3 linked regions of the Saccharomyces cerevisiae S288C genome follow. Changing the gene in region 1 together with any one later gene gives a genetic interaction. Each region holds a gene or a part of one and is shown on either strand. Other genes may lie near its edges.

Region 1 (4,934 bases):
TTCCATATGTCGACTATTTGTGAAAGCCGGAGCTTTTCGTCTTCTTTAAATTTGATCAACTTTCCAAACTCACCTTCCTTGAATAATGTGCAATAATTGAACAAAAAACACTCTCCTGAGTTAATCCATCCTGATATACTAGTATCTGGTATTATAATCCCTTCAAGTTTTACTGGTGATGCATAATATTCACGTAATTCATCTGCATTTTGGAACATATCATTTAGTCTCTGTCTATGCTCATAATCGTATTCCCATGAAGTTTTTTTACAAATATTAAGGCCCCCGTTTAGCCATAGCAAGGACCCGTCCCTGTCTGTATGAGATAGTTGCACAGAACAAATCTGGTAAAACTCACCGGTACTCTCTTTTGAAACTACATTGCCCAACTGACCAATGTTTGATGCATCCACAGGATGGAACGTAAAGCGATTGTTCGAAAGTAATTCGCCCAGCCAAAAAAAGTCCTTATCACCATGAAAATATTCTGCAATTGGAGAAAATTGTAAAGCTATTGAAGTAAGCATACTGAAGAGATGCTTTCCTTTATGCAATATTACCAGGCCGCTTTCCAAATGATGTTTATATTTCTTTATAAACATGTTTTCCAGAACCTGTGCAACCACTGGATCCTCTACTTGCTCATGTATCTTGGATTCATCCTCTAAATCAAGCCCAATACACCCATAGACAATTTCCCTTAGAATTTTTAATTCAGAGGATTCAAATAGATCATCTGATATTACCCGATCTTTAAAGAATAGAACTCCAGTCTTTTGAAATTCCTCTAATTCATAAAATTTTTCTATTGAAACAAAGGGCACTGTATCTGAGTCCATTAGAATAGGAATTTCAAAGGATGAGAAGGTCAATGCTAACCACTTGTTGGAATAGGTGGTAAATTTTTTCGAATATTTCGGGTTTAGCAGACTATGTACATTTAAAAACCATAATTCTTGAGCAGGATATTCAGCGGTGTCTAGACTTCTCGCATATTTGATAATAGATTTCATGGAATCTTGACTCAGATCTGCATTATGAACAATCTGTATAGGATAATCATTTTTGATGAACCTCAACACTTTCAATAAGCGTATGGTTTCATTCAACTGCACGTCAGAAGCACTAATAACTATGCCTTTCGAACCACTTTGAGTCACAGTGTGCAACCAATTCTCCCAAAAAGATAGCCCTGTATCGAAATTGATGGGCTTAGAACGAAGGAATTGATGGTTTTTGGGGTCAAATTCCAACATAGACGCATGGTAAACCTCGCCATTCCATCTCGTAGTTGTGTGCCAGAAGGCACTTTCATCAGTTTCTAATTTTTCAAAGTTAATATACGGAAAGAGCTTCTTTTCAATATCCCTCAAACGCTGAATATTATGCCCATCAACCTGCTGCAAGCAATTAAAAAAAATCTTAATCCTCGTAACCAGTTCAATCACATCTTTTGCAGGATTCGGGGTTATTTGATTTACGTCGTAGAAGTCATTCAACCACCCAGGCGTAAGACCTTCATAGTAACTCCAGCAGCCACCATTGCCACTGCTGCTACTTTGAACTGGTTCTACCAAATCTAACGAATTCAACTGAGAGTAATATACTACTAACACAATTCCCAGTAGTACAACTAATATAAACAGTCGATTTTTTCTTCTCATATTCGATAAATACTATTGGGGCTACTTTTGTCCTGTCACTGCGGATTTGCAAACACTCATGCGAATATTTTACTCAATTGAGAGATTTGCTGTCTCCCCCCACTTCGATGGTCCCCACCCCTAAAGTAAAGGAAAGAAGAATTAGCACTGTTTTAGTTCCAGGTACTTCTTTCTTTCTTTACCGGTATTGTGTGGCTCATCAAAACTTCGTCTCGGGAAAATGAAAAATGTAAACAAGAATTTCCGTTTCAAAGAGTTGCCTAAGGCCCACTAATAATGTACTTATTATTTACAATTCGGAGAACGCTGCTGATAGAAATCAATCAAGAAGTCCCTTAGTCTTTGTGTGTTTACGCCATATTGCTTAGTTTCGTAGTGCGTTACAGTTCTATCGTGTGAAAATTTTTTTCTAATGCATCAGCTGTTATGCGCACTACTTGAAAGGTTATCGAGCGTTTGTAAAAAGTAGAAGTACTTAAATGAACCTTCACGGTTAAGCAACCAGTATAATTGAGGCTGCTGATTTGAAATTGCGTTTTGTGTTCAGAAGGATCCCCGGAGGCCTTCAATGAGCTTCCATTTTATTTTCTCCAAGGAGGCCATTTTTTGTAGTGTGATGTTGACATGGTTATAACTGTTAGCAGTGTTTGTGATGATGGCTGTAGTATCACCGCAGTGGATTAGCTATGAAAAAAAAAAAAAAGAACTAGTTTTTAGTTCGCGCATCACGAGGTACGTGTTTAATATGTCAGATGCTTGGGATCACGTATGCCGTTAACTCTACAAAGCAATTGATATTTTGCTGCCTCAAATATCTCACACTACTAGGATATATTCTTTTATCAAACAGGAAAAAAGGGCAGCGTACCAACATGTATAAAAGGGTTATTAGCATTTCTGGTTTATTAAAGACTGGAGTCAAACGTTTTTCTTCTGTCTATTGCAAAACAACCATCAACAACAAGTTTACATTTGCAACAACTAATAGTCAAATAAGAAAAATGTCTTCCGTTACTGGGTTTTACATTCCACCAATCTCTTTCTTTGGTGAAGGTGCTTTAGAAGAAACCGCTGATTACATCAAAAACAAGGATTACAAAAAGGCTTTGATCGTTACTGATCCTGGTATTGCAGCTATTGGTCTCTCCGGTAGAGTCCAAAAGATGTTGGAAGAACGTGACTTAAACGTTGCTATCTATGACAAAACTCAACCAAACCCAAATATTGCCAATGTCACAGCTGGTTTGAAGGTTTTGAAGGAACAAAACTCTGAAATTGTTGTTTCCATTGGTGGTGGTTCTGCTCACGACAATGCTAAGGCCATTGCTTTATTGGCTACTAACGGTGGGGAAATCGGAGACTATGAAGGTGTCAATCAATCTAAGAAGGCTGCTTTACCACTATTTGCCATCAACACTACTGCTGGTACTGCTTCCGAAATGACCAGATTCACTATTATCTCTAATGAAGAAAAGAAAATCAAGATGGCTATCATTGACAACAACGTCACTCCAGCTGTTGCTGTCAACGATCCATCTACCATGTTTGGTTTGCCACCTGCTTTGACTGCTGCTACTGGTCTAGATGCTTTGACTCACTGTATCGAAGCTTATGTTTCCACCGCCTCTAACCCAATCACCGATGCCTGTGCTTTGAAGGGTATTGATTTGATCAATGAAAGCTTAGTCGCTGCATACAAAGACGGTAAAGACAAGAAGGCCAGAACTGACATGTGTTACGCTGAATACTTGGCAGGTATGGCTTTCAACAATGCTTCTCTAGGTTATGTTCATGCCCTTGCTCATCAACTTGGTGGTTTCTACCACTTGCCTCATGGTGTTTGTAACGCTGTCTTGTTGCCTCATGTTCAAGAGGCCAACATGCAATGTCCAAAGGCCAAGAAGAGATTAGGTGAAATTGCTTTGCATTTCGGTGCTTCTCAAGAAGATCCAGAAGAAACCATCAAGGCTTTGCACGTTTTAAACAGAACCATGAACATTCCAAGAAACTTGAAAGAATTAGGTGTTAAAACCGAAGATTTTGAAATTTTGGCTGAACACGCCATGCATGATGCCTGCCATTTGACTAACCCAGTTCAATTCACCAAAGAACAAGTGGTTGCCATTATCAAGAAAGCCTATGAATATTAAAAAAATCGAACGAACTCATAAACGTCAATTATGCGTGTGCCTTATTTATTTAGTTGTGCGTACAGTATAATGCACTTATTTATTTACCAATCAAATGATTTTTTTAACTTTTCACGATCTATATAATTACGTTAATTTCGAGTATATAACAATGAAAATATATATCTACGTTGTTTTAAATTGAAAAAAGAAGAACGGAAGTTCTATTAATGAGCCGAGACCGGTACGTTTGTTGAAAATAGTTTGGACTTAATTACTGACATACTGTTGGCTTTGAAGCATTTAAGACTGAAAAATAGTCATGCAAAAGTCATGCTTTAATATGGTGGGTTTCAGTTGGATGCAAGAAATAAAATGAAATTCGAAGGCCTTTTGCAATTAAACAAGGCATCGTCAACCAGACAATGTCGAAAATTTTGAGTCAATCTAAATCAATCCACCGCCACACTGAATTCTGTCAATGATATTGTCTTCCTTTTTTTGGTTTGATATCTCTAATTTTCAACCTGTTATAAGCAACGTCAATCCGATTACTTTCGTGTGTCATTCACATGCGCATATTTTTTTATTCGTTTTATGATATAGCTGTCTTTATTATAACCTCGAAACACAACGGCAATGTAACCTTACCAGCCGCATTATTACAAGGAGCCCACTTTATTTTCAATTGCTATCGCTACATCGCAAATGCTACAGCACCCCCATCAGACCTTGAAGTATATATATATTTAATAATAAATACATTATTGGAATGGCTAGTAAATTTTGACATAAACATGATTTCCGAACGAATTAAAATACAGTTGATTTAGGAGAAAGTATCAGTACATTGCTAAAAATTTTAAGCAAATGTTAAGTGAAAAAGGCTTATCATTCAGATGAGCTTAAGAATATACTTTTTGCGTTATTCAAGAGCGATGATTATTACTGAACTACTGTGACGATATCAGCAGCATGCCTGATAAATAAATCTGTACATTCGTGGAAAGTAGTATGTACTTTTCAAATATTTCTAAGAGCTAATGATATTTATTTGATATTTATATCGACAAATGAATCTTTTTCATAGAAGCCGTTATGAAGACTCCAAATAGCAATACTCAAAATATACTATAAGATC
Region 2 (3,345 bases), on another chromosome or scaffold:
CATTCTGATAAGCAGAACCACGTAAGGCAGACTAAAAATCATGACATCGATTAACAGTTTTCCCAGGAATATTGACTGGCCTTCCAACATAGGCATTAAAAAAATAGAGGGAACTAATCCAACGGTGAATGCCATCAAGGGCTTGTTATATAATGGTGGATCAATTTATGCATTTCTATATTTTGTTATTGCTATGTTTGTTGAACCAACGCTACAAAAGCAGTACCAGCAGAGAAATGATTTTTCCTTGTTTGTTTTGTTGCGTTTGAGAAGAATCATAGCGCAATTGCAAAAACGACTGGTGATGACCCCAGTATCGTCGTTGGGGTTCAACGAACAGAATAACTTTGTGGAGAGGTCCACTCAAACTTCAGACGACAATATAATACGAGAAGATAATAGCCATTGGGCTGAAATGATTTATCAACTGCAAAATATGAAACAAGAATTACAGTATTTTAACAGATCCTCAGGCCAACCATCTGAAAGTATAGACGATTTTGTCTTTCAAATTAAGATGGTGACTGACCAGGTTGAGTTAACAGATAGGTCCCGAGCTTTCTCAAATAAATCAAGAAATATTATACAGGGAATCCGAGAAATCAAAGGTTGGTTTGTGAATGGCCAAGTGCCAAGGTAACAATCAAAAATAATAGCATTGAATTTAAAACGCTCTAGTGCACGTAACGCATCCGTCTGATCAGTGGCGAACAATACCGTTATTTTTCATAGTACCTAAGAAGACACATACCAATTTTTGCAAGTGAAAGTGCAGAAACGGTTCCACTAACGATATTACTGCATGCTCTCTATTCTAATGTACATATATATGTTCCTTTATCTACAAGAAGTTTCGTAATAATATATAAATCCCTCAAAAGTGTTATTGTTTCGAGCCCAAATGCTTCAAAATGTATAGTTTGTTGGTGTTTTTCTTTTCAGGTGTACTGTTGTTAGGCTTGAAAGGTTTAAAAGTGCGAACATTCCTTGCTATTAATTCAGGTGAATTTGAGTTGGACCCAAGTATAATCTTTCTGCTAGTAACAATTTGATTGGATACAAAATCGGCATCCTCTTTTCTTTGATACATTTCTTTTATCCGTTCTCCTCTTCTTTTCCATCTCTCGTAGGTGTTATTGTTTTCCTCATCAGTACGCTTCCAGTTGGACTTCAAAATTCTTCGAACAGCCTCGGGAGAAATTTTGAACCGGTCTGCAAGATCAGATGCTGTCAGTTCAGGAAAGTTGAATTTCAATAGTCTTAGAGCCTCCATTTGTTCCTGTGATATCTTTTTTGGTGGGTTCCACCTCTGGCCTTGCAATTTTTTTCTAACTGCCATTTTCTGCTTCTTCCACTCAGGAATGTCTTTCGTACCATCTCGTACTTTTTCTGTAAACTCTTTATTGGACAAACTCGATTTATTGACTAATTTAATAATCTTTTTGGATGACCATCCCCTGTTCTCATTGAGTAATGGACCGCAGCGCAGGCAATGAAAAGAACGACATGCTATTCGCAGAATGTTCATGCCAAGTGCTAACCAAATGATTCAGAAGGAAGTCGAAGGGAATACGTAGTGCCTTGTTAAATAGCTTACCGTGATATGAACAGTATACGATCGACTCTCCTTGGAGACTTTCTACACCATTGGTGATTGGTGTTTTAGTTCTACCATCATTTCATATTTACTAGCTTTATGATCATTTTAGACGACTGTGGGAATGTTGTTATTTTTACTAATCACTTTTACTTAGTAATGTCCCTTAAGGACAGCACTGAAAGCAAAGTAGTCAAGCACTTCATTCGAACTTGATTAGTAGAAACAAACTTCATTCTTTCTTTACGTATCCAGTCCAATAATATCTGCAGTAGTTATAGTGACTGATGAACATTTTGAAGAAGTTTATGGAGTCTGGTAACAAGCCAGAGCTCATCACGATACCTTCTGGGCAGTTTAATCTTTTGAGGTCTAAGAATTCCCCTAAAGCTGCTTTAGAATGTATTTACAACAATGCAACTTTAAGCGTACGTAAAATAGGCAAATTTGATTATGAGTTGGCGGTTTATAGGGTAGAGGACGATAGTGAAGGAGGCACGGGAGATGAGGCTGAGAATTTTGAAGACGACACCATCAGTGTTTTATCCACACAGTCTAAAAAGAAAGAAGAGGAGTGGAGCGTTGAAATATCGGATAAAATCATGTTTCACAAAACATGGGATAAACAAGGAAACGTGGCGCTTGTGTGGGAGAACTTAAGAGGTGATGAACAAGATGAAAAGGTTCAATTTGTTGTTGCCGCTGATGTGTCGTTTTCTGATGTTGAACAGTTTATCCAAACTGTTTACCGATGCCAATTCGAAGTAAGGAATAAAAAATCCTCTCTCACTGCCTCAGCAGATGACTTAAAGGAAATAGAGCATAGATCAACCAGGCTCTTTGTTCAAGATGATGATGACGAGTTAGATTCAAGCTCAGATGACTTTCAAGATGCTAAAGACACCTCTTTTGAGCACGAGAAGGAAAGTGAAATATTGGAAAGAACTCCTTCTCCATTGAAAAAAGTTCCAGAAGGGGAATATTGTTGTTTAGTGATGTCTAGCCTATACATGTATGATCCAATTCAAGAAAAATTTATTCTGCAGGAGCCCGTGGTAAAGGTAGCAATTATTGATACAGGCAAGTACGAATTTTGGCTAGCGATAGAAGGTAAAGATAATCGTCTTGGGACTCAGGTCGCCCCAAATATCAATCCTACCTTTGAATTAGCTACCGATGCCTTTCTTTTCAACTATACGCTACAAAACATTACATTGTCTTATATGTTAAAATTTAAGGACTTAGATAAGTGTATTCAATTCAGGTTTGCTTGGGTTAAATGTTTATGGATGACTTTGAACAAAGAAACGTGGACCGACGTTCCTGAAAAGGAGAAAGATTATATTTTAGATTCATCATCCGTGCCATTGGAAAAGCAATTTGATGACATTTTACACATAGATGACAGATCAAATGAGGAAAGAGATAAAGAATCAAGCGAAAGTGAAAATGATAGCGAAGATGAGGATGACGAAAACGATCACTCCAAAAGAATCATTTCATCTGAAGCCTTTGAAGAACCTAGGCGTGCGACTTCCAAAGGTAATAGTTCATTGACTGTCGCCTTTAGGAACAACAGGTCATATGTTACAAGAGATAACAGAATTGGTGTGTTCAAAACGGATGATGAAGACGATTCTCTAGAATTTGTAGCTGCCATAAAGAATATTTCTAATTTAGGTGGTAAAAGCATTGATCCTCATAAGCCAATGTTGTATATGGAAGATCGTAATTTAATTTTGACTGAT
Region 3 (3,715 bases), on another chromosome or scaffold:
CAAATGCTCCAAGGTATGCGGAGCACCTGAATCATTAAGACATTCTGTAGGAACAGCAAAGTAACCGTGAACCAATGGGGAGGTTTTGTGGTTTATATGTACCAGTTGCAGTTTAGTTCGTTCCGAGATATATTTAGTTATATGGTATTGTGGGACATAATCCGGTTGGAATGATACGAGCTTCTTGAACCCCATTGTGAAGATTCGACGAACTGTGTTGAAAGTGCGTATAATTGGTCTTCGTGCCGTTTTTTGGGTCACTTTCAACTTTTCAGCGAGTAGTTTCTCTCACTATATCTTACGCTCTGTTAAAATCTTTTGCCACTACTTCAAAATTACGATCTATGGGATGAAAAATTTACATGAATTTACCAATACTCGGAAAAATGCAGGACAAGAAATAAGAACATTTGTATAATACAAGAGACGCATATACACATACCTACTCAGATAAGTTTAACGAGTTTCTCTTCCATAGGAGGGTCTAATCTCCTTCAGAAGTCTAACGTCTAAAAGTTCGTAAAGAATATCATCATAAAGTATGGTATACAAAATTTACTGTGCAACAACAGCACAATGCAGTCCATGATCTGCTCATCTGAGCACGAAAACCTAACCTGCAAGTACTGGCCTGTTAGCTTCCTCGCTTCTTGGTGTGAGAATGGGTCTGGCACACTGATGCAGAAAGATGGTAGTCTTTTATATGCCGTGAAAAATTTTTCCCATATATTTGAAAAAAAAATTTTTCATACCAATCTATAGAAATAGTGAGGTCAGGAGACATCGCAACACTATTGTTCTATTGCATTATTTTTTTAGTGTTAAACTACAATTTCGGATTCTATATCATTGTATATAATAGCGTCAGAATAAGCGTGACTACTTACTTCTTTTCTTGCTTAGTTTTTGGCTTAGGTGCGACAAGTCTTTCCTTTTCGCCCCAAACCAACTTATGTGGGACCATGAATTTGTCCAAGGTCTCTTCGTCCACCTGAGCTCTGCGTTCCTGGAACGCCTTAACGAATTCTTGCAGAGTCTCGATACACAGTTTCTTCATTTCACCTGATAGTAATTCACCGGACTTATATTTGTCATAGCATTCCTTCAAGAAAACATCGTCATCCTTGAAAAATGACAAGTATTGGTATGCAACATCGACATCGGGATTACCACCTAATTCTCTATGTAGGTCGGCGGACACTTGACCACCGCTGAATGCGTACTTGTTAATTTTCTTTTGAATTTGCTTTGGTGTATCGGTCATGAAAATGGCAGTGGTATCATCAGAGGCTGACATTTTGGTCGTGGAACCTTGCAAAGCTGGAAAGAATCTGGAATGAAGCAAAGCAGGTTTGGAGTACTTCAATTTATCCGCGACATCCCTACAAACTCTGAAATATGGATCTTGGTCAATTGCACATGGAATCAAACATGGTGTCTTATCAGGCAAGCCTAACACATTAGGAAATGAGCTTGGGAATGCGGTAGCAATTTGAATGGAGGCAAAATGGAACTTACCAATACAGTCGGAGTCATTAAACCCGAAAACAGCCTTTGCAGTGGATCCTGTAATTTGTCTGGAAACTCTTACTACAGTTTCGTAAAATGCACCACCCATGTATTGCAAATCAGAAAAGATAAAGGTGTTCTTTGGATCAAAGCCAACAGCAATGATATCCTTGGCATTTTCACGGGCAAAATTCTTAACGTCATTGATGGTCAACTTGTGTTTGAATAAAAATTTTTCGTCATCTGTCAACTCTATGACTAATGGTACGTCAAACACTTCCTGTAACCATTTGGTGAAGACAAAAGGGATCATATGACCCAAGTGCATAGAATCGCTCGAAGGACCTCTACCAGTGTATAGGAAAAATGGTTTGCCTTGTTCGTAAAGGTCTAATATTTTAGTGAAGTCACGCTCACTGAAAAACAATCCCTTACGCAAAAAATGATGTGGTTCACGACCCGTCACTTGCTTGAATCTCTTCAGGGTTTCTTCGTTGACCGGCTTAGTACCGAATTGTTTGATCAATTTGTCGTAATCAATATTTTGGGCTCTACCTTGTTCATCAACCCCACCTTCCACATCCCAAGGTGTAACTACTTGCTCTTTAACATCTGTGCTTTTTAGTTCCGACACTTGTTGGGTGACTTTCTCTACAGTTTCGTCGTTGCTCATCGTTGTTCTACGACTATTTTTTGTTATTGAGTTTTATTTCTGATACCTCAATGACTAAAAAAAATTTTTCAACGTTTTGATCTTTTTTCTCTCTTTTCCATTATAAGCGGAAAAGAGATACTGTATTGAATAAATTACTGGCGTCTTGAAAAGGATACATCATTTAATAAACGCAGGACCATGCCATTGCTTTTTGAACTCATGCTGTACGTGAAAAAGTGTATATATATATATTTATATAAGAAGATATTTACAGTCAGATACCTACTTTTCGTTTGATTTCAATTCAGTCTCTGAATAGCCATAAAATAATTACCGACATCGGAACAATCGTGCTCAACCCACCCTTGATATGGGAGGTACATGGTCCCCTTGAGATCCAACAAGCGAAATTGGCCACTGTAGTTGTCATTGAACCAGGCAAGGATTTCCTTTGAGTTTATGTATTTGCTCAAATGATGAGTACCCTTTGGGACGATCTTCAAGACGTTTTCACCCATAAAAATTGTAGTAAACCATGAGATGAGATCTCTGTTTATAGTACTTAAAAAGAGTATACCTTTTTCGGGATTTAACCTCGACCAACAATGCCTTAAAATTTCACTAGGCATATCCACGTGCTCTAGCATTTCCATACAGGTGATAATATCAAATTGTCCAGTAACATCCTCCAGAGCCTTGCACTCATAATTTATCTTTCCCTCCAGCATGGGGTCTTTCTTGGCATGCTCTTTTGCTACCATGATACAATCGCGAGTCAGATCGATCCCTTGAACATTCTTCACCCATTTTAGTCTCGCGAGCGATTCACTCAAAATGCCACCACCGCATCCAACATCCAAGACGCTCACTTCTGGCCTCTTATCTAGATTAGTCTCTATGCTTTCCTGCATTTCCCGCTGAATATTGTCGCAGACGTATTCTGGTAGAAACTCCTTGTAATTAAATCCAGGGACAAATATTTCAGGATTCTGAATTTTAACCTGGTTCCTCACAGTCCTCTGCACAAAATCTAACCTAGTTAGATTCATTTTGTGTAGAATTCTTTGTGATCCGTCTGTATCCCACCAAGTAGGGGCTAGCTCCTGGAAATGCTTCACTTCATCTTCAGAAGCATCTGTGCTCTTACATCTCGTTTGTGTTTGAATTGCAAATCTTGAACAGGCGCTCAATTGTTTCCTCACATGAATAACCTTCAAAAATCTAGATCTTAACAACATTATGAATCCCATAAGACTTCGCTGTACCTGTTTCCCTTTAATTGTTTTGTATGCCTTTTAGCATACTTTACCATCCCTCTTTTTGAACAATGGAAATGAAAAAAATAAAAATATCTGCTTCTAAAACTTGTATTATGTAAAAGGGTGATAATACATTATGAAAGGTAAGTAAAAAACTATTCTATATACGTCTGAAAACGCTCTTACAACCTCTTAGTGAAGAATATGCTCTATAAAATCCAAAATTTTTACGTAACTGATTGTATCGCTGCACATTATAACCATGTGTCACCTTAACGTCACATACAGATCG

What was found. A genetic interaction does not mean that the proteins touch.
Region 2: mutations in ADH4 (region 1) and RRG9 together harm fitness less than expected from each alone (positive genetic interaction), as found in Saccharomyces cerevisiae (one large-scale study listed by BioGRID).
Region 3: mutations in ADH4 (region 1) and WRS1 together harm fitness more than expected from each alone (negative genetic interaction), as found in Saccharomyces cerevisiae (one large-scale study listed by BioGRID).

Annotation. Positions count from the first base shown.
Region 1 is NC_001139.9:12,494-17,427, forward strand, and holds ADH4 (alcohol dehydrogenase ADH4), read left to right. Parts: upstream 1-2,665; coding exon 2,666-3,814; downstream 3,815-4,934. Other genes in the region: alpha-1,3-mannosyltransferase MNT2, read right to left, coding at 1-1,664. UniProt on the Saccharomyces cerevisiae protein: Alcohol dehydrogenase specific for ethanol. Acts mainyl as a mitochondrial formaldehyde dehydrogenase and has no effect on ethanol production. Shows drastically reduced activity towards primary alcohols from 4 carbon atoms upward.
Region 2 is NC_001146.8:245,577-248,921, forward strand, and holds RRG9 (mitochondrial ribosome assembly protein RRG9), read right to left. Parts: upstream 1,529-3,345; coding exon 884-1,528; downstream 1-883. Other genes in the region: PEX17 (Pex17p), read left to right, coding at 41-640; VID27 (Vid27p), read left to right, coding at 1,885-3,345. UniProt on the Saccharomyces cerevisiae protein: Required for respiratory activity and maintenance and expression of the mitochondrial genome.
Region 3 is NC_001147.6:135,644-139,358, forward strand, and holds WRS1 (tryptophan--tRNA ligase WRS1), read right to left. Parts: upstream 2,183-3,715; coding exon 884-2,182; downstream 1-883. Other genes in the region: SDD3 (Sdd3p), read right to left, coding at 1-195; YOL097W-A (uncharacterized protein), read left to right, coding at 577-762; COQ3 (hexaprenyldihydroxybenzoate methyltransferase), read right to left, coding at 2,464-3,402; HMI1 (ATP-dependent 3'-5' DNA helicase), read right to left, coding at 3,584-3,715.